Linked DNA regions of Neurospora crassa OR74A. The protein of the gene in region 1 binds, or shares a complex with, the protein of each later gene. Links are inferred from orthologs where the notes say so. Each region holds a gene or a part of one and is shown in the gene's direction. Other genes may lie near its edges.

Region 1 (10,885 bases):
AGAATGGCGAACGTTTGCGGGCTGAGTGCCGATGGGAGTCAGCTCAGGCGAAGCCACTGAGCCTGTTCCGCTTGCCTGTCCAGAACCGATAGCAGACATGCTATGCTGTGAACGATGCTTGTTAATGCTGTTCCAGCCGCTTGCGCCAACACTATCAAGGCCGAAAGACTGGCCTAAAACAACGTCTAATGCTGAAGAAGCAGACAGCTTTGGGTGGGATATTGAGTCAACACAAAATCACAAAAAAAAAACAAAAGTTTTGGGGGGGAGGAGTGGTGGAAGGGGATGAAATATCGGTATGAGGGGGCAGCAAACAAAATAAACAAGACTTCCACTGCATTTATCGTACACGACAATTTGCGGGATGTTTTGCTGACAGTGATGGTGCAAACGAAGGCAAGGAAGATGCGCGAAGTGAAGAGGAAGCAGCATGGTGGTTCAGGGATAGATGTGCTTCGTGCTGTCAGGTGTGGGGGTAGAGGGTGTGGGTGTGGGTGTGGGTGTGGTTTTCGAACCCGCAAGTGCCTTGGGGCTCCAAACCAGCATAACACATTCACCGGCATCTGAGCACTTCAAGGAGCGGGCTTCTGAAAGCTCAGTTGCCTGCCAGGTGAAATGAATTTGAGCCGGAGTTGAGTGACAGGATCGATCGAAACACCACTTTCCGTCACGCAACCAGTGGAACGGGAAAAGCCAAACTCACCCTATTGGAATATCCCTGCTGTCTAAACAATGTAGGGAAAGCGTCTGCGTTGCTTACTTGCCCGGTGGGAGTCGCTCTGCCCTCTCCCGAGTTATCTTCTTCGTCGTCGAAAAGAAATCCGGCTGTGTTGTTGCTGTCTTCGAGACCGATATCGTACGAGGTACGGGATCGGGTCACAGGCATAGAGTAGCGGTTCGTACTAATAGGCAGATCCCCCGTTAATGTCAAGCTCCGGGTCGAGGTTGCAATTGATATTGGGGCCGAGTGCGGTGAGTTATACAGGAGTCAAGTTGTGGTCAAGGAGAGAAGGGCGCAACCGTGTGCTTTTATAGAAGGTTCATCCCCAGAATGGAGTAACCTGTCAGACAATAGCAACCTCTATAGATCACTTCCCACTAGGGTGGATAATCGAGTCTGCTATTGATCGCCATTCTCCTTCTATAAGTTGTGATTATGGGATGAAAAAGAGTGCCTTGGACACAGCAAAAGAGGAGATTCAGCCAAGAGCACAGCCAGGCAGAAAGATGGGCCGAAACTTCGATACCCTTTACAGTAAGTTTGAGGGGCTTATGATCTCTTCTCCTGCCCCATCACAGAAACCGCAACGGCTTCACATCAGATCGCAGCAGCAGACTGGGAGCAACGCAAAACCTGTTCGACAGTTTAAGAGAAAAGCAAATACTTACGCTTTGGTGGACCGATGGCTGGTGGGATCCTGGCGTACAGCCTCTTCCTTCTCATCTTCGTCACTGTTCCTTCGTGAGCCTGGACCTGAGCGTGTCGGCAGTTGGTCATCAAAGGCTAGCCGCATGGGCAGCATCCCCGACGGCGGAGATGTGAGCAAGGAGCGGGTTCCACGGTTGACGAGGCCGGTCGAGTGCCGGTTCGGGCGGGAAAACATGGAGGGAAAGCCTCTTGAGGCATCGCGATACTCGGGGGGTGTGGTCGGCTCGGACTGGTGGCCGGCGAATCTGCCTATCTGCAGATCCTCTGCCATCTGTGCGAGTTCACGCTCTTCCTGACGCTGCTGAGCGTCTAGTTTAGAGAGCTCGGCTTCGAACCGCCGCTTGCTCTCTCGGATTCGTTCGTATTCCTGTCTCTTCTTTTCTAACTGTTGTCAAGGCAACCGCATGGGCCGCGAGGTTAGTGGGCACCTGGGGCCGTCGTTGCGAACAAGTTGCGACGTACCAGCTGAACCTTGTGGAGAGTCTACCAAGCATGATCAGCATGATCTCCAACAAACATGTCACCGTCGCGTCTGCACCAAGAGCAGAGGCGGCCGGGACCGGAAGAACGTACCGCAGCAGGAGTAGCAGCAAACTCGATGGGCTCGGGTGGGCGCTGGGAACCAGGTATAAAGGATGACAGTGTTGGTACATGGCCCGATTCTGCGGTGAATCGGCGCGGTAGGGAGGGACCACTCCTGTTGACAAAGGAGGGCGCCATTTGCGATTCGCCTCGCTGGGGCTGGGGGCGGTAGAACTCGTCCATGATTATCTCGGCTTTACAGTTGCTAATCGATACACTTTTGTTGTACAGGGTGATGGATCCGTCGGCGGCTGCTCCCTCTATAATCTAATGCCACACACAAGCGTTAGTCAACATCTTTTTTCAGCGAATACCAAGACGAGCACTGTGAGAAGAAGCAACACATGAGGACGATAATGTGCCATGTACAGCCACATGTAGAGCAGTTGTAGTGACGAATGGCTGACCCCTCGGCGAGTCGCAATCAGAACAGTTCCTTCGGGTTCGGCAAGGCTGGTGTGTCGAATTCCAAAAGCTCGTCCGGATGCTGACAGCTGTTGCGATGGCCATCCAAGCTGTGTGGCAGGCATAGGACCGCGCTTGTAGTCGGCCGTGTCCTCAAGACTGGAGCAGCCTGAGTACCTCTATGGCGCCCATTATGAGACTGACTGGACATTGGGATGGGCCAGCGCTGGGTGAGGACGAGGCCGTGGCTCTCGTGGGCTCCAGCGTCCGAGGTCGCGCAGGTTGAGAGGGGATGGAAGGCGTATGAGTGGCCCGGGACCTGAGGTATGTGATGGACGGGATGCGATTGAAGGAACGACGTCAAGGTTACCGACCTACCTAGTCGTAGAGGTACCAAGCGAAACAATATGTCTCGTCGGCGCACGTATACTCTATACGCTGCGCCCCGGGAAGCCTGGAGCAGCAGGTTCGGGAGCGGTAGTAATACAGCAAAAAGAGCGAAGAGAGATGGGATGGAGGACGAGTAAGCCTGACGGGTTGGGAGGTCGAAGTAGAGGGAGTGTATGGCGGAAGACTGACGGTCACGGTCGGTCGGTTGGTGGCACCGAACGGATGGGGATGCGCGAGAGGATGGGATGCCACCCGCTTCCTCTCTCGCGGGCACTGGACCTCAACCCCCCCAGCCCAGCCTGCCGCTGCCGCTGGAGGTGCCGCTGTGGTCCATGTCACTTCTCTTCTGTGGATGCCCTCAGGACTGTCAAACTCACCTCTACGTACTACCTAGGTAGCTAGGTAAGTACCTCTACACGAGGACATGCTGCATGCTGGGTTCGAGAACCCCTGACAGCCAGAGACTAGTGCTTCGATTCCGCAGTGGGTGGACGACAGAAGCCCAATCATTGGATCTGCTGGCCAAGGGCGATTGCGCTAAGAGGTCCCCGCTTTGCACCCTTCGGACAGGTACCGGTACTTGCGAAGTGAGTGGAAGCTCTCCTCACCTCATCGACGCTGTCGTCTTCTTCCTCTTTTCCCTTTCCCCTTTCACTTCTTTGGGAGTTGACAGCCAGAGTTGCGAATGATTAAAAATGCGGCTTGCTGGCGTGGCATTGGAGTATCTGACCTCATTAGCCAATCTGGTACAACGAGACAGCCTCCAGTTGCTACCAGATCCCTTGAACATGGCCTGTAAACGGACATGTGCTTTACAAGACAACAGCAGGCGACGGCGATGAGGGATCCAAGCCTACGGTACCTACCCTGACTCCGCCCAGGGGGTGTCTGTAGGATGGAGATAAAGCCTCTTCCGGTCTTTGCCCTGCTTCAGTTCCCAGATATATCGCCTTACGAGGAACCCCCAGGATTTTCATTGAACGGAACACCAGAGACGGCAAAGTGGAAGTCCTGAGGAATTAGCGGTGTATAGGCGTCGCCGGGCGCTATACGGCCTGCAGTGAGGCAATCCACGAGGTGGCTGCCCCAGATTCTCTTACCCGCGCCCTTGCGTCCAGTCTGCAGCTGCCCCTGCGCGATGTTAGGCCTTGTCTGGAACCGGATAGGTAATGATTGGCTGGCGACAGAACGGGAGAGGGATTGCGTGTTGCAGCACTCTAGCTGACACGCGAGACAAGCTCGAGACAAGGCATGGGAAAGGTAGCCATAGTGACAAAAGGCACAAGACAGTGAGTGACAGGCAGACAGCCGTCAATGTTCAAGGCTGGACACTCTAACCCTCACTTCTGCCCTGTGGAAGATTCAGTACAAGAGAGAAGATCGATTTACATTCTGAGCACTCAAATGTACGATAGCCAGGTGATAGCTATGGTAGACGCTGAGATATGGAATGTCTTGAATGCTCATTGAGACCATGGTAGAGAAAGCGAACGCACAAGTGCAGCGCCCCCGTGTTTAACCTTGATGTGAAATCTCCTCGCCTTTTTTTTTCAATTGCTCCTCTTTCGGATCTTGCCCCACTGCTGGGTTGGGTTCCAGGTCGATTCAAGCAAGGTAGCACCCTGCTGGAGCTGGCCTAGGAAAAGATGGGTACCTACCTACACTATGCTGTAAGACACGGCCAACGGTGATGCGACTCTTTGACGTTTGTATAGTCAGCCAGAAGCATAACCCTTCTCTGATTCTTGAAGCCTGAGCAGGTCACAGCACTTGGGAATAACATCAACCTCCGTTGTATGCGATTAGCAATTCAAAGGCTGCCATATCAACGAACAAAGACCGAAGAAGACCATCAACATGATAACAGGTAGGAGAGAAATAGTGAACGACCCGGCAGGTGATTTCATAACCAGAAGCTCTCCCCTGTTGACTGGTGTGTCGATCGAAGGCCCGGCTTCCGCTTGGCGCGGCTAGATTCAGCAGAACGGATACATAGCTATCTTGAGGTTACCTAGCTGGCCTGACCCCGCTACAAATTGTTCAAATCGCTGTGCTAGTTGAAGTTGGATAGGTAAATACAACCTACCACCAGGAGGCAGATGTGTCGGAGTTGCACAGAGGCGGGGGTTCCTTATCACGAACATCAAAGTGACGGTCCGGAGTCAAAGCAAAAGGAAAGGTTTCAAAGGTACCCGACAGGTGGAGGGCACGGCCAAAAGTGGAACAAGGAACCTACATAGGTATATGTAACTGTCAATCAGGGGTCCAAAACGTGGGCGCTAACAATTTTGGCCTCGGCATACCAGTTAGGTACCACTGCAGTCACTAGCAGTCACCGGTCACCGCACCACAACACTACCTCTAGTGTAGTGCACTACACACACTAACAGTCAAGCACAGACCACTCCCGCCCCGTCGTCCCCCACCGCCCCAGCCGCGGCTTACCTCTACTGACCTAACAAGAAATGGCAGCGGCCAGCCCGTAGAAAAAGTTTATCGCAACTAATCCTTATCAATTTGCCGCGGGGCCAAAAATCACATCGAAATCTACCTACACAACTGCAAGGCGTATCTTCTCAACCAAACACACATTCCCGGTCGTTCCGCGCCCATCATCGCCATCCTCCATTCCTCCGGCCCGATCGATACGACGAACCGTCACCCGCAGTTAGCACATGCAAGGATGGCGGCTCTCGACGATGGCTTTGAGGCCCTGCTGGAGCCGTTCTACAATGGCAAGAAGCTGACCGATCCCATCTCGACCACGCAGGACAAGTTCCATCTTGTCCCGGCCTTCCTCAAGGTCAAGGGCCTCGTCAAGCAACACATCGACTCGTACAACTACTTCGTCAACGAGGAAATCAAGGACATCGTTAGGGCCAACCGCGTCGTCCGCAGCGACCAGGACCCCAACTTTTGGCTCGAGTTCAGAGACATCCGCGTCGGCATGCCCACCCGCACCGAAGATGGCGAACAAGTCCAGTCTCGAAACCCCGTCACCCCCATGGAGTGCCGTCTCCGCGACCTCACCTATGCCGCCCCCGTCGAGGTCGACATCGCCTACACCCGCGACAAGAACGTTATCGTCCGCAAGAACATCCCGCTATGCCGCATTCCCGTCATGCTCAAGAGCGCAAAGTGCTACCTCAACGGCGCCACCAATGCCCAGATGGAGGTCTTCAACGAGTGCCCTCTCGATCCTGGTGGCTACTTCGTTATTGGCGGAACCGAAAAGGTCATCTTGATTCAGGAACAGCTTAGCAAGAACCGTATCATTGTCGAGGCCGACGAGAAGACCGGCGGAGTCATGGCCTCGGTTACCAGTTCCACACACGAGAGAAAGTCAAAGACTTACGTCGTACTCAAGAAGGACCGGATTGTCCTGCAGCACAACACCCTCTCCGAGCCCATTCCCATCGTCATCGTTCTCAAGGCCTTCGGTGGTCTTTCCGACAACGACATCATCGAGCTGGTTTGCGGTGGCGATGCGCGCTACCAGGACGATTTCCTCATCAACTTCGATGAAGCCGGAAGAGCTGGTGTCTACACACAACAACAAGCGTTGGAATACGTTGGTGCTAGAGTCAAGATGGGCGGTAACAGACCCAAATTCGGTGCCGCTCCTCGAAGAAACCATGCTGAAGAAGGTCTCGACGCACTTGCGAACTTAGTTATCGCGCACGTTACTGTTGAGGGTCTCGACTTCTATCCCAAGGCCGTCTACATTGCCATGATGGTTCGCCGCGTGCTGATGGCAGCTCAGAATCCCAAGCTCGTCGATGACAGAGATTTCGTCGGCAACAAGAGATTGGAATTGGCTGGACAGTTGATCTCCCTTCTATTTGAAGACTTGTTCAAAAAGTTCATTTCAGACGTCAAGTACAACATTGACAACTTTTTCAAGAAACCCAACCGTACCTCTACGTATGATCCCCATGGTGCGATCATGGCTAACGGCCATTATATCTCTCACGGTCTTAACCGCGCCATTCAGAGCGGCAACTGGACGGTCAAGCGTTTCAACATGAACAGAGCCGGTATCACCCACGTGCTCAGCCGACTCAGTTATATCGCTGCGCTGGGTATGATGACGCGTATCAGCTCACAGTTCGAAAAAACAAGAAAGGTTTCCGGTCCAAGAGCCCTACAGCCCTCACAGTGGGGTATGCTCTGCACCTCTGATACACCTGAAGGTGAAGCCTGTGGTCTGGTAAAGAATTTGGCACTCATGACACACATTACCACGAATGTGCCGGAGGAACCAGTTAAGAAGATGATTTTTGCTGCTGATGAGAGCGTGGGACCGATCCGAGAATACACCGGAACAGAGATGCACAGCAAAGGCTCGTATATCATCCATTTGAACGGTACACCATTTGCTGTGACCAGGGAGCCAAAGCGGTTTGCCGCCAGGTTCAGAACTTTGCGTCGCCGGGGCTGGGTCTCTCCTTTTGTGAGCATCCACATCAACGAGCACTTCTCGGCGGTTCATATCGCTACCGATGAAGGACGTATTTGCCGCCCGTACATCATCGTCAAGAACGGCAAATCCATGTTGAAGGCAGAGCACCTGAAGATGCTTCAACTCGGGCAAGCGACATTCGACACTTTCCTGACCAGCGGCGTGGTTGAGTATCTCGATGTCAACGAAGAGAACGATACCCTTGTGGCGCTTCAGGAGGATCAGATCACCAACAGCACTACGCACATGGAAATTGAGCCGTTCACGATTCTCGGAGCAGTCGCTGGTCTAATTCCCTTTCCCCATCACAACCAGTCTCCCCGTAATACTTACCAGTGCGCCATGGGTAAACAAGCCATTGGTGCTATTGCCTACAATCAGTTCAACAGAATCGATACCCTTCTTTATACCCTTGTTTATCCCCAACGACCAATGGTCATTACGAAGACGATTCAACTTATCCACTACGACAAGCTCCCGGCAGGACAGAACGCCACCGTCGTTGTCATGTCTTACTCTGGCTACGATATCGAAGATGCGCTTGTTCTGAACAAGGCTTCTCTAGATCGTGGATTCGGCCGCTGCCAAGTGTTCCGCAAGTATACCGCCGAATTGCAAGGCTATACGAATGGGCGCCGCGACAGGGTTGGCGGTATCATGAAGGACGAAGACGACAAGCCCATTGTTAAGCACGCCATCCTCGACGCCGATGGCCTGGCCCAGGTGGGCTCAAAGGTTGAATCCGGACAAACGATGATCAAGAAGGAGACCCCGTTGGACCAGATCTCTACTGGAATCGCTGGCGATCGTGGGTCAGACGATTACCGTGACGCATCAACCAACTACCGCATTTCCGACCCCGCCATCATCGACAAGGTCATGATTTCGGTCAACGAGCGCGAGAACAAGTTGATCAAGGTCCAAACCCGCCAGACCCGTAGGCCGGAACTTGGTGACAAATTCTCGTCCCGTCACGGTCAGAAGGGTGTCGTCGGTATCATCGTCAACGAAGAGGACATGCCCTTCTCCGACAAGGGCCTCCGCCCCGATATCATCATGAACCCCCACGGTTTCCCCTCTCGAATGACAGTCGGCAAGCTCTTCGAGTGCCTGACCGGCAAAGCCTCGGTCATCGCTGGCGAGAAGGACTACGGCTTCGGCGATGCCTTCCGCTCGCACCCCGTCGAGTCCATGGGCCAGGCCCTGATCGACCACGGCTTCTCGTGGGAGGGTAAAGACTACTTCACCTCGGGCATCACGGGTGAGCCCATGGAGGCCTACATCTACAACGGCCCCATCTTCTACCAGCGCCTCAAGCACATGGTACAGGACAAGATGCACTCGCGCTCGCGCGGCCCTCGCGCCATCCTCACGCGCCAGCCCACCGAAGGCCGTTCACGCGACGGTGGTCTCCGTCTCGGAGAGATGGAGCGCGATTGCTTGATCGCCTACGGCGCCTCGCAGTTGTTGCTGGAGCGTCTCATGATATCCTCGGATGGCACCGAACTCGACGTCTGCCAGGAGTGTGGCCTGTTCGGTTACAAGGGCTACTGCAACGCTTGCAAGAGCACGAGGAACGTTACCCAGATGACAATGCCGTATGCTTGCAAGTTGCTGGTGCAGGAGCTTATCAGTATGAATGTGGGTGTGAAGCTTAAGTTGGAGGATGAGTTCCCTCACCCGAGGTAGTTTTCAGCGACTCCCTCCGGAGGTGGTAGAGGATATGATGTGGTATCGTGTCGTGTAGGAATTCAGACTCGTCGATAGAATGAGCACGGGTTTTGTGGAAAACGAGATCTTTGGTGGTGGTAGCCGGTTGATGTTTGGATTTTTTGCAGACAGTTTACATGACAGGTGTTTGGGCGCGCGTGGTTCTCTTACTCCTTAGCATTTTCAAAGAGCGCGGCGAGGGTAGACAAACGGTTACACTAGACTGTAATGGGACTTACACACAAAGACGAAATACGTATACAAGTTCGAATCGATCAAGATCCTTTTGCAACCTATTTAAAGCCCCTTTTACTGCCACGGTTAGCGTCTGGTTGTCGTTGTTCTTGATTTCTGACTGGATATCACAGGTTAGCAAAGAGGACGGGTGCCCATTAGACATTGTCTAACCCAGCTTTCCGGGACCGGATCTACTTCTGGGTTGCTGTGATAGTGAGGAAGAAAAGTTCATAACGTACCCATGAATGGATACGCATGCATGCAATATATCTAATTACCCCTGCGTATAAAATCCAACAGGCAAGCAGTTGTTGTGGACGACGTCACTCTGCGATTGATTTTGACTTAAGATAAAGAAGAAATCCTTGATATTTTCGGCGAGTATTTTGGCTATTCTTGACCGTGTGTATCGTTCGCTCACTGACTGGCGTCACTAACCGTCGACTTTTACATTTGGTATTCTAAATAAAGTGTATTCTAAGCTCCAAAATCTGGGGGGTATCACATATTATCCCTTTTTTTCTTCTTCCCAAATCATTTCTAGCACAGTTGAAAACACTACTCACTGCTTCCCAAAACCACCTCAGATCATCTCTTTTCTTGTCCTCTCATAAACCCCTTTCACATGTCAGACTTCTTTTCCCTTTCCCTTCCCACCCACTTTCAATTCCCCCTCCCCCTTCTTCATTCCCTCCTCCTTCCCGTTCTTCTTCCCCACCCCCTTCAGCCCCCCCATCCAAACCTCAAACTCCACACTTCCCTCTCCCAACCCCATCCCGCTCTCCGCCGTCCATCCTGCAAAAACAACCTTCATCCACCTCCTCCAGCTCTTCAGCATTGGCATTCCCACAGCTTCTCTCCCACTGCCGACAACGGCAATGTCATCATCATCATCATCATCATCAGCTTGGTACTTACTCCTCCCGTAAGCTGGCCTTTTGAACAGCGCTATCCTCGCAGAGATCTGTGTAGACCAGACCAGACCCAAGGAGGGAGTCTTCAAAGCGTAGGAGGCGTAAGGATCGTCGCCCCAACCGGTGAAAAAACGTTGTTGGTTGTCGAAGTGGAGGGCGGGGTGGTGGATTGTTGAGGTGTCGTCGTCTGCTGGGTGACCGTGAGGGTAGGGGGTGGAGGGTGTAGGAACGTTGCTGCTGGATCGAGGTGGGATGGAAATGGAGGAGCGAGGGATAGAAGAAGAAATGGGCTCAGGCATCTTAGTCCCAAACCGATCGGCTACTTGATTGGACACCACCACGGCTAGGTTGTACTTTTGCGCTAGATCGCGAAGTTGCATACCTAGTCGAACTAGCTCGGCGGTGCGCGCTCCCATGTTAGAGGATCGCGCGCCTGGTGTCGAGGACGACGTAGCTGCTTCTTTGGAAGAACGATCAAACTCGGCGCGGTAGTTGGCTGCCACGCTATCGAGCACCAACAGGCCGATGTTGCGCCGCTCAATCTCCACGGGCACTTGGTAAGTGAGGATGTGATCTTGGCTTTCCAGGTCGGGCGTGACGGTGCTGATGATGTTATCGAGCGATGGTCTCTTTCCTCCTCCTCCTCCTCCTCCTCCTTCTCCTCCTCGGCCGCTTTCTGAGTCAAGGTCCGCGTAGAAAGGGTTGGTGGTGAGCATTTGGGCCAGCCGCCGGGTGGAGAGCGGCGCCTCGGTGCTG
Region 2 (10,367 bases), on another chromosome or scaffold:
GCTCAAGTTGATCACGCCGAGCAATACCAGCAACACCGTACAAGTTTGGGAAGAGGACACCAGCGGAGCTCATCGTACTCCTGAGCGGGATTAAGGATTCCTCATCTTGAGTCCTTGGACTGGTGAGTCGCCATCCCATCGCTTCCATGACTTGTTTCGAAGATGTGAATTCCCTGGGACTTTTATGAGAGTGGCCCAATTGTGAAGCTAACAATACAGAGGACAGCGAACCACGAAAACAACAAATTCTCAGCGCGCAGTATGACGGCGGGATGGAGATTATCAAAGTCGACAGAGAGCGAGTGTTCGCTCCGCGACAATGTTCGACGGCAGCCAGTCCAGTGGCGGCTGAGAAGTTATTGTAACAACAAGCAGTCGTCGCGTTGCCTTTTTCATATCTCGTCTCACAGCACCACACAACCATGCACATCAAGGACTGGCACAACTAACACCAACACCACAGAAAATGTTGAAGAAGAAGGACGTGGATGATGTGTTGCACACAACTCAACGACGAAAGACCAAAGCATGGCATCCCTTCACTTCAGTCTCTCTTTTAAAGACCCGATGACTGAATTGGCTATTCTTCTTCTGTTGCTGGTCTAGTCTGCATCTATCTATGTTTCCTGTTCCGTTTTTGCCAGGGGATAAGAGAAGAAGTCAAAACGTCCCACCTTTATCAGCAAAACCCAAAGTACTGTTTCTCCTTTAGGCGTTCTTTAAAGGTAAAACATCGCGCGCGGCCTGCTTATCCGCTCATTTCAATATCTGCAGTTGCTGTGCTTCATTCATCAAAAAAAAAATATCCCATGCGTTGCGTTCCATGTCACAAAGTTTGCAGCCGGAGAGCTTCAACATTACCGATCGACCTCACCTGGAAGTAGGAATAAAAGGGTTAGCTACCAAACCACTTGGAATTTTAAAGAAGAGAGTTTCACACAATGAGAATCAAACTTACCAAACACCAAATCCATTGTGCCGATAACGGCCACGGCATCAGCCAACATGTGGCCCCTCGACAAGTGGTCAAAGCCACCCAGATGAGCAAAGCCGGGAGCGCGGATGTGCACACGATACGGCCTCTCGGAACCATCACTGACGACATAGACGCCCATTTCGCCCTTGGGGGCCTCGATGGCCGAGTAGGTGTCACCGGGCGGGACGGCATAGCCCTTGGTGTACAGCAAGAAGTGGTGGATGAGGGCCTCCATGTTCTCCTTCATGGCGGAGCGGGGCGGCGGGGAGATCTTGTAGTCTTCGACACGGACGGGACCAGCGGGCATCTTGTTAAGGCACTGGTGGATGATACGGAGTGACTGACGGAACTCCTCCATGCGGCACAGGTACCGGTCGTAGCAGTCGCCGTTGATGCCAACGGGAACGTCAAACTCGACTTGGTCGTATGCGTCGTACGGCTGACTCTTACGGATGTCCCATGGCACGCCGGAACCGCGGAGCATGACGCCCGTGAAGGACAGGTTCAGGGCGTCGGCGGCAGAGACTACACCGATGCCGCGCAGACGGTCTATCCAGATACGGTTGTCCGTAAGCATCTCCTCGGTTTCGTCGATGCGGTCGCCGAACTGCGTGGCCCACATGTAAATGTCATCGAGCAGGCCGAGAGGGATATCTTGGTGGACACCTCCGGGGCGGACGTAGGCAGCATGGAGACGGGCACCAGAGACTCGCTCGTAGAATTCCTAAGGTTTTTCACATATTAGATTGAGCTGCTGGGGTTGGGTGCGTGCTGCATTGGTATTCCCAGGTCCTTTCGCGTAGAGTTTCGCGCATTGGTTTTTAATATACCCATCTGATAGAGACCGCCGATATTTAACGAAAAATACGAATCAACACTCACCATCAATTTCTCTCTTTCCTCAAAGCCCCACAAGAAAGGCGTGAGAGCGCCGACGTCCATGGCGTGCGACAAAACAGACATGAGATGGTTGAGAATACGGGTAATCTCAGCGAACATTGTACGAATCCACTTGGCACGCTCGGGGATCTCAACGTTGAGCAGCTTCTCAACGGCCAGAGCAAAACATTGCTCGTTGGTCATCATGGAGACGTAGTCAAGACGGTCAAAGTAAGGGAGCGCCTGAAGGTAGGTCCTGTACTCGCAGAGCTTCTCGGTGCCGCGATGCAGCAGGCCGACGTGGGGGTCGGCACGAACAATCTCTTCACCCTTTAGCTCGAGAATCAGGCGCAACACACCGTGAGCGGCCGGATGCTGAGGACCGAAGTTGACCGTGTAGTGCCGCACCTTGCGGGCCAGGATATGATCCTGGGGAGGCACTCTCGGGGCACCGTCTGCCTTCAAAGCCTCCAAGCCATACAGATCGTTGTTGGGCGCAAAGTCGTCGCCGGTAGGGACCAGACGGGTTCCTTGGCCCTCGTAGCTGGGCTCGGCATACCGTCTGAGAGCGGAGGCAGAAAAGGCGCGAGTCGAGTTGAGGTTGTGAGCGATGGTGGTGCTCTGGCGCATACAATGGCGCTTGGCATTGCGCCCAGCGAGTCGGAACAACGTCGTCGCCATTGTTGTTTGTGGGACTGCCGCTTGCTTTGGGTCGCTCAGAAGGTCAGGGAACGGAGATGGATAGATTCGCAGGATTGACAGCGACGGAGGACAAAGGGGAGGAGGTTCGCCGCTGGATGTGGCCTCTTCTCCGGCGGTTCAATGGCTCGCAGTGAGCTTGCGATTTCTAGTGATAGCAGTAATAAGGTGGTGGTGGAGATGCTTCAGTTGACGTCCAGTCGACTTTCCCTGACCACGGCCGCAGCAACGCCCCAGCTTCGAACTCCTCAAATCGTTGCCGTCAGTTGGTCAGTGAATTTCAACCCAATCAAAGGCCATCAGTTGAGCAGTCAGAGACCAAGCTTCTTCTGGTACAACGTTCCCCCCACGGCGGGCAAGCTCCCGTCTCGACTGTTGCCGGCCAAGGCGTTTATCCGGCAGCCGTGCCGCCAAGCGGTCCCATGGAGGGCAGCCGCGCTATATGCCATCTGATTGGCTGGTTGTAGAAGCCTCGGTCCTTCGCCAGGCAGTCTCGAGGCAGTGTAAGTCGGAATTTGGGCATTTTAGGGAGAGGTTTTCGCAGAAAGGAAGAGGAGGATGGAAGAGCATGTCCACACTTATAACAATGACCACAGAGATTCCAAGATGTGCTGGAGTTAAGAGTGGAGTTAGTCAACATGTCACTTACTCGCGACAAACCTCGATGTGGACATGGAATATGAAGCCCCGATGTCTTTCCCTCGCCGAAGCTACAAAATTGTGGATTTGGAATTGATACTCCCGACATGCAAGTATATCTAGGTAGTTGAAGTATCTCCCATCATACCTGCGCAGCCCTTTGCAAGTGAAGATCTAGCGTTCTCTCTTCGCCTCAGGTTTCGTCGATGGTCGAAGTCGACGGTAACCTGACAGAGGTTATGGCCCGCCATGTACCCTGTTGGCCTTGTCCCAGTCATTGCGGTCCTGTCCACAATTGTCTCCGCCGAGGCCCATGAGCATCAAGTTGAGCCAGGCAGTCCCTGAACCTCTCCGCCACTGCCTGCAGCACGATAAGATCTCAGCCAACCAATCAACCGCATTCCCGCGAAGGCGGTCAAAAAGTTCCCGTTCGTGGGAAAAATTCTGCCGCTCCATCGCCCGTCGCACAGCGCAGAGCTCTCTTTCCCAAGATTTTGCCCGGCGTGCCGACCTGCGTGTGAAAGCGAGAGGGTAACCCCGCCAACCTAGAGCATTATTTACACATATCGTCGCAATGGGATCCTCAAAGAAGCAGACCGCCGTGCCCGTCAGGACAAAGGTCCCGAGCCCAGAAGAGGTTGAGAAGCGTAACGTACGTCAATCACTGGCTTGCCGCCCATCATCATCAGTCGAGGCTGCGCAGCGCATGCAACGCGGAAACTGATGGCATTTTTCTTCTGCAGACTGTCCATATCAACGCCGAAACTGTCACCAATGTCACATCCACCGACTTTCCCGGCTTCTACCCCGGCGAGGATCATTCCTGGGATATCGAAAAGTTCCGCGAAAGTGTCCGCGTAGTGTTCCACCAGAACGACCCTTATGAGGCTCAATTCTCGCTCATTGGCGTCGACGCCTCTATCGCCAATGCCTTCCGCCGTATCATGATTGCCGACATCCCCACGCTGGCCATTGAGGACATTTTCATGTGGAACAACACCTCCGTGATCCAGGACGAAGTTCTTGGCCACCGCCTGGGCCTGATCCCGTTCACCGGCGGCAAGGAAGGCCTCCATAACTTCCTCAAGTGGTACAAGAAGGGCGAGACCCCGTGCGACTACAACACGGTCGAGCTCGAGCTCAAGGTCAAGTGCGAGAACAACGAGAGCGCGCCGGCAGACAGCAAGGACCCCAAGGAGCTCTACCACAACGCCCATGTTTACGCTAAGGACATCAAGTTCGTGCCCAAGGGCCGGCAAGCCAAGTACTTCTCGGGCGAGAACGCCATCCGGCCCACGAACCCTGACATCCTCGTCGCCAAGATGCGGCCGGGACAGGAGATCGATCTGACGATGCACATGCACAAGGGCGTCGGGTCCGATCACGCCAAGTTCTCCCCCGTCGCCACGGCCTCGTACCGCCTCATGCCGACCATCACCATTCTCGAGCCGATCCTAGGCCGCGACGCCGAGAAATTCCAGAAGTGCTTCCCCGAGGGCGTCATCGGGCTGGAAAAGGTCACCAAGGAGGAGGCGAAGAAGAAGGGCAGCGGATACGAGGGCCATGAGGGCGAGCTCAAGGCCGTGGTCCTGGACGCCATGCGTGACACCGTCAGCAGAGAGTGCTTGCGCCATGACGAGTTCAAGGACAAGGTCAAGCTGGGCCGAAGGAGGGATCACTTCATTTACCTGGTGGAGAGCACGGGGCAGTGGGAAAGCGACGCCATCTTCCTCGAATCGATTGCCCACCTCAAGGAGAAGGCGAAGAGGTTCGAGAAGCAGGTGGTGAACATGGTACAGTAAACATTGTACCAGGGGTAGGAGGATTCAAAATAGCACGAAGAAGAGGTGAGGTTATTTCTATGTACGGTGGTTGAGACAGAATTTGAGCGATCATGATGTGGAATCACACAGGGAAAGAGGAAAAATCACACGGATTAGGTCGTGAGGATACCCATCTCTCTTGTAACCATATAAAAGAACATTGGAACGGCGTCATGGAGGCTAGGGATTGGTGGCCAGCTTTAGTTTAATGGTTTCTGCTTGTTAATTATCATAGACATGTCGGTGCACATGAGTCATGAACCACACTGTCTTGCATAAACACAGTACCCCTCATTTGACATGATGTCTTTTGGTTACGTACTGCGTAGCATATTGTTGAAGCACATTGTTAATCATATCTTGTATTCACATCTAATTAATTGCAAAGGAAGTTAACTCATCGCTATAGCCATCTTGCGGGTCATTCCCCGCTGCTTGTTGTGCAACGCTCCCGCTCGTAGGTAATTTACAAATCTAGTCCCTAAATAGCATGAACAAAGTCCAGGCAAACCAGGCCAGGCCATCATGACACGTTCATGTCTGGGGACCATCATGCAAACTTGAGGCTGAAGTTGAACACCACGCCTACAAACGCTGGATCAGTAACGGCGAGCTCAGTACCTTCCGTCAGCCCAAGCTGCTCAAGTGTCTTCTCCAAGTTTGGCCGCGTCTGCTCCTCCAAGTTCGGGGGCAACTGCATGTACAGCGTCTTGCCCTCAGCCCGCACCGACGGCTTCTTCAGTTGCGCCTCAGGAAGGGTAGCAAACGACTCTATGAGCTCTTCGAGTGTCCACTTGGGGTTGACCTTGAGCACCCTTGCCGTCATGCCGCACACGGGGCAGTCCTCCTTTTGCTCGTGCTTAAACGTATACGTGTAAATGCTGTCGTTGCCGGAATACATCATATAATTAGGCTCGCCTTCGCCGGGGGTGCCCAAAAAGGGTGCACAGCTGGATGCGATCTTGAGTGCCTCGTTGCAGCAGGCCGCGGCGATGACCGAGTTCGTGGCCGCGATGGCCGGGATGATGTTCTTCACCACGCCTTGCGTCAGAGAGTACGTGACGCCCGATATGTTGAATTCCTTTGCCCGCTCGAGGGCTTTCTGGTAGAGCCAGGTGATGTGCTCCGGGTCGTCCTTGTCGAGCTGCGGGAACGGCTTCTCCTTGTCCCAAGCGATGACGTGCGCCCATTCGATGCAGTGCTCCGGCTGGCGGGGGATGCTGGCGAGAGTGCAAAGAGGAACGGCGGCTCGGGGAGCGTGCATGTCTAGCTGGCACTCGATACAAGAGCCCATGGTCGGTAGAATAACGCGGGCTTGGCCCTTGAAGCCCTCGGTGCCGCCGTCGATGAGAGGTTTCATGCTATCAGGGTTTTCACAACTCGCCATGTTGACCAGGGTGGCGTTGATCCATCGGCGTGCCTCGATGCTGTCCAGTCCGCAGACTACAATCTGGAACTGCTGGTAGAAGTCTTCATCGAAGTCCTGTATCTTGCAGTTATATGGCGTGATCTTGACGCCTTTGACTCTTCTCTCAACGAACTTGGCAGCTACTTCGGCTTTGAATTTCCCTACGTCCGCGTGACGGAAGAGAAACTGGCGGTTAAGGTTGGAGATGTCGATCGTATCTAGACTTCCAGGTCAGCTATCATTGACATGTCGATATATCTATAGAGGACAACCGACCCATGTCGATGACGGAAATGTCCTTGAACCCGGAAAGGGCGAGGTTCTTGAGGATCTCACAACCCAGTCCTCCAGCTCCGCTACCTTGCCGTCAGTTCTCATAACCATGACCCGTCAAATCATTAAGCTGAGACTAACATGACTCTGGAAAAGTTATCAGCTTCTGCTTGAATAATTTGATATACGCATACACTTGATGTACTGCCAATTAAAAGGATAACTTACAAGATCTTGATTTTGTTCATGTTCTCTACTACCGTTGAGCCATCAAACTCTTCCGGATCCACGAATGCGCCTGGCCGTGTTCGGACATTGTTGAGATACTTCCTATGGTAAAGGTGGCGTGTTAGCTGTTGGGACTCATGCCCTGAAGATATGAAATCCAGGGGGTGTTCTTGGGTCGCGATCGAGAGCGCGTAACACCTACCATCTTTTGGCTTCGGAGTCTGGGAGTACTTCTGGACTTGACATGACTAGTTTATGGCTACAAGAGGAGACTTCGCTGGTGAGATAATTAAGGGGGAGGCCGGCGGGTAGGATGAGAAATGCTAGTGATAATATTTGCTGATTAGTCGCGGCTCACAAATTGTTGCAGGTTGAATGTACAATCCGAGGGGTGAGTTGACGGGACAACAAACAAACGGAACTGGAGGAGGGAAGCTTCCATAGTTCCACTTGCGGGCGGGCCCGGACTTCAGGTTCGGAGATGGTGAGTGGATAGCTCCTGCCGCCCCGTTAAAGGAGACCCTGTAGGTTACCAACAGCGGCAACGGAGAGTGCCCGAAAGTGCAGTTCAGGGCCGCTACAGGGAAGGGACGACTGCCTGCACAACGGATCAGTTAGCACTTAGCAGCAACACCGACGCTACGTATCATCCCCTGTTGCTTTCCGTTTGACGCAGATAACTACGTACACTCAGTGAAATGTCGTCGATACGAAACGGAATTTCCACTTTCCTTCCAATTCGTTCCGTCCTCTTTCGATCGGTCAAACGATAGGTAACGTTCCGGGGTGTGAATTTCACTTCAAGCCCAGCCTGTGTATTTCAAAGTCCTCATCACCAACTGACATCATTACAGATATCTGAGATGAACGGCCTCTTGACGCCCATCAGCACCTCCCGCCTGAGTGCGAGCCCCAACGAACCTCTGCTCCAGGAAGTTGGCCTCAGAAAGGAAACAGTAAAGCCGAACCAATCTCCTGGTCAGAGGCCCTTGAACTCGCCCGAGGAAGCCCTCGAAGTTTTACGACATGAACCTAACTACGACCAGCTCGTCGCTACTTTGCGATTCCTCAGCCATGAGGATTTAGCCGGGTCCACATTCAGCATCAAGGAACCAAGTCCTATGACCGCAAAGCTAGTTCAGGTGCTGGTGTCAGAAATCGTCCCGAACTATTGGACTCTGCTAAACGAAGACTCCCATGAAACCAAGTCTTCGGCCTTGGGGCTCTTGCTAGCTTGTCTTCGCAGTCTGACAGGGGTCAATGCCATTATTGTGCGTCTGAGGGCATGGTTACAGGAAGCAAAATCCGGCGATGGCAAGTCCAAGCGACCGGACATCGCAATCAATCTGGCAGTCCTTCTCAACCTGGTATGCCTGTTACTAAAAGGCAATGATTCCATACGTGGCATTTGGAAGTCAGCTACAAGAACGCTGAACGGGAACCTCAACACCAGAATGCTCTCGCAGGAGATGCTTTCGACCTTTGGCAGTGGTCGGATCATTGCACTGACCGCAGAGGCTATTGAACATGCAAAGGGGCACAAGGCAGAAATCGACGTTAACAACATCTGGCTAGCAAATGGGCCAGAATATACCAAGTGGTTAAGCCAAAATATCGTCAAGTGGCAACTAACCTCGCCAACATCAGATGAGACGAAGCTTTGTTCCGAGTTGTTTCTGAAGGCTCTACGACTAGGGCACTCGGGTAAGACATTCGCGAATAGCTCTGGCTTCTCAAACTATGACTGACTTGGAGGCAGATACGGCCATGAAATGTGTCCTTACCAGGTTGCTAATTGCTCAAGGGGCTGACAATGAGCGCTTTGGGCTCCTGCTGGGCCATGTTCCTCGAAGCGAGCAGCGTAAAGTTCTCTTTTCGGTGCTGAAGACCTTCGCCGAGGACTATCTTAATCGGTTAGGCACGAGTGATACCGAAGGCAGCAATAAAATGATATCCGCAGTGGCTGGTGCAATCAGCGCAATTACAATGAATGATCCGGAGAGAATAGCCTACCTCGTTGAGTGGTTAACAGGTTCGTCTGGCGCTGGACTTGGCGACTCTATTGGTATCCGACGAGCGGTGGTGGCAGTCGTCTCTCAGGATAGAGACTCAATCGTCAGTGTGCTTGAGAAAAGTATTGCCCAGATTGGAGATCAGCTATACATCAAGCACTCTCCGATAGTGCAACAAGAAGGTTGGCTTTAGCTTGAAAATGGTGTGTTCTTCCTCTTCTTGAGCGTAACTAACGGTTTCAAAGTGCATGCGCAGGTGCTGCTCCTGAGCGCTGGATACGTCCACAAGGTCTCGCCCTTGAAACTCACACTTCTGATGAGATCAAGCCCATGGCTAAATGCCATCTCCAACAGGCTATCGTCATCAAATCAGAGGGCTCGTTTCCTGGGTATGGTTATTGGCGAAGGGCTTTCCAGTCTCGTTGATAAGGGTGATAAACGCCTGAACTTCCAAGTCGAAGAAATGGAGGTGCCAGATGGAAAGTGGTACAAGAGTCTTGTCGAGATACAGGACACACCTGGCTCATGGGATCCGCTACTCAATCCTCAAGAGCTCACACAAAAAAGGACGAGCTCCAAGACACCTTCCCACAAGCCAGCACCATCACAGCCTCGGGCCCAAGGTTTTATTATCGAAGAACTGAGCGATGAGAGCCTTAGCGAGCAGGATGATGTTGTTGGGTACAGAAAGCCCGACTCAGATGCCGAAGACTCGGATGACGATCCAGAATTGGTCAGGAGGGACAAGGCAAAGGCACCGGTTTACATTAGAGATCTCATCAGGTATCTCCGCGACACCGATGATTATGATCGCCAGAAGCTTGCACTCGTTACCGCCCCAACGCTCATTCGACGAAAGGCGAATTATGGCACAGAGGTTACTGATCACGCCGAGGAACTCGCATCTTTACTCGTCGGTCTCCAGGATAAGTTTGAGATGGACAAATTTGACGACTTGCGACTGCAAGCAATGATTGCTATCGTCGTTACGCAGCCCCAGCTCATGGGCCCGTGGTTCGCGAAGACCTTCTTTGACGGTGACTACTCGGTGTCTCAGCGATCTTTGATCCTCACCGTCTTGGGTCTCAGTGCCCATGAACTTGCCGGGTTCGAAACATCCGAGTACGCAGCAGCTGCATCTTTCCCTTCTAAAAGCCTCCCAGAGAAGATAGAGAGGCTATTCATCAGCCAAGGCCCTTCAAATGCCTACCAAAGCTCCTCCTCATCATTGAAGCCTCTGCCTCACAACGCGCTCGAAAGCGTAGCAACGTCCATCACGTCGAGCTTCCTTGCGCCCCTTTCAGCAGCCGCTGCCGACTCAGCCACCGGGCCCGATGTGCTGAAGCTCTCTACCTTCAAGTCCCGTCTTCCCGATTATGACGACAGCAATAACGCAGCAACATCAGAAGAACAACACATCAGTAACCCCA

The links. Proteins that work in one complex are often made in the same cells at the same time.
Region 2: the proteins of NCU01772 (region 1) and NCU02533 are in contact, whole or in part, in a cryo-EM structure (PDB 7Z0H), measured with the Saccharomyces cerevisiae proteins. The link is inferred for Neurospora crassa OR74A from reciprocal best matches to the Saccharomyces cerevisiae genes RET1 and RPC40. Residues at the interface, in NP_014850.1 of Saccharomyces cerevisiae: Phe718, Thr729, Tyr730, Lys775, Ser776, Asp779, Arg780, Gly781, Arg784, Glu786, Arg788, Arg901, Asn903, Arg905, Lys927, Gln928, Glu929, Asp930, Phe933, Asn934, Asp935, Gln936, Gly937, Val992, Gly995, Phe996, Asn997, Tyr998, Lys1001, Asp1002; in NP_015435.1 of Saccharomyces cerevisiae: Val5, Ile7, Glu8, Tyr9, Asn10, Arg11, Val12, Thr15, Thr16, Ser17, Thr61, Ser62, Asn65, Arg68, Arg69, Ile72, Ser73, Val91, Gln93, Asp94, Glu95, Val96, His99, Arg100, Leu103, Gly214, Asp215, His216, Ala217, Thr224.

Annotation. Positions count from the first base shown.
Region 1 is NC_026502.1:2,485,972-2,496,856, forward strand, and holds NCU01772 (DNA-directed RNA polymerase III polypeptide), read left to right. Parts: upstream 1-5,303; 5' UTR 5,304-5,489; coding exon 5,490-8,957; 3' UTR 8,958-9,376; downstream 9,377-10,885. Other genes in the region: NCU16560 (hypothetical protein), read right to left, coding at 1-207, 704-902, 1,390-1,814, 1,892-1,912, 2,003-2,194; NCU01771 (DNA repair protein rhp57), read right to left, coding at 9,844-10,885. UniProt on the Saccharomyces cerevisiae protein: DNA-dependent RNA polymerase catalyzes the transcription of DNA into RNA using the four ribonucleoside triphosphates as substrates. Second largest core component of RNA polymerase III which synthesizes small RNAs, such as 5S rRNA and tRNAs.
Region 2 is NC_026501.1:2,641,328-2,651,694, reverse strand, and holds NCU02533 (DNA-directed RNA polymerase I and III polypeptide), read left to right. Parts: upstream 1-3,658; 5' UTR 3,659-3,767; coding exon 3,768-3,845; intron 3,846-3,936; coding exon 3,937-4,995; 3' UTR 4,996-5,355; downstream 5,356-10,367. Other genes in the region: NCU02535 (hypothetical protein), read left to right, coding at 1-84; nuo49 (NADH:ubiquinone oxidoreductase 49kD subunit), read right to left, coding at 858-874, 959-1,700, 1,859-2,536; NCU02532 (NEDD8-activating enzyme E1 catalytic subunit), read right to left, coding at 5,567-6,642, 6,701-6,780, 6,839-6,844, 6,926-7,027, 7,128-7,171; NCU02531 (hypothetical protein), read left to right, coding at 8,047-8,629, 8,685-9,119, 9,183-10,367. UniProt on the Saccharomyces cerevisiae protein: DNA-dependent RNA polymerases catalyze the transcription of DNA into RNA using the four ribonucleoside triphosphates as substrates.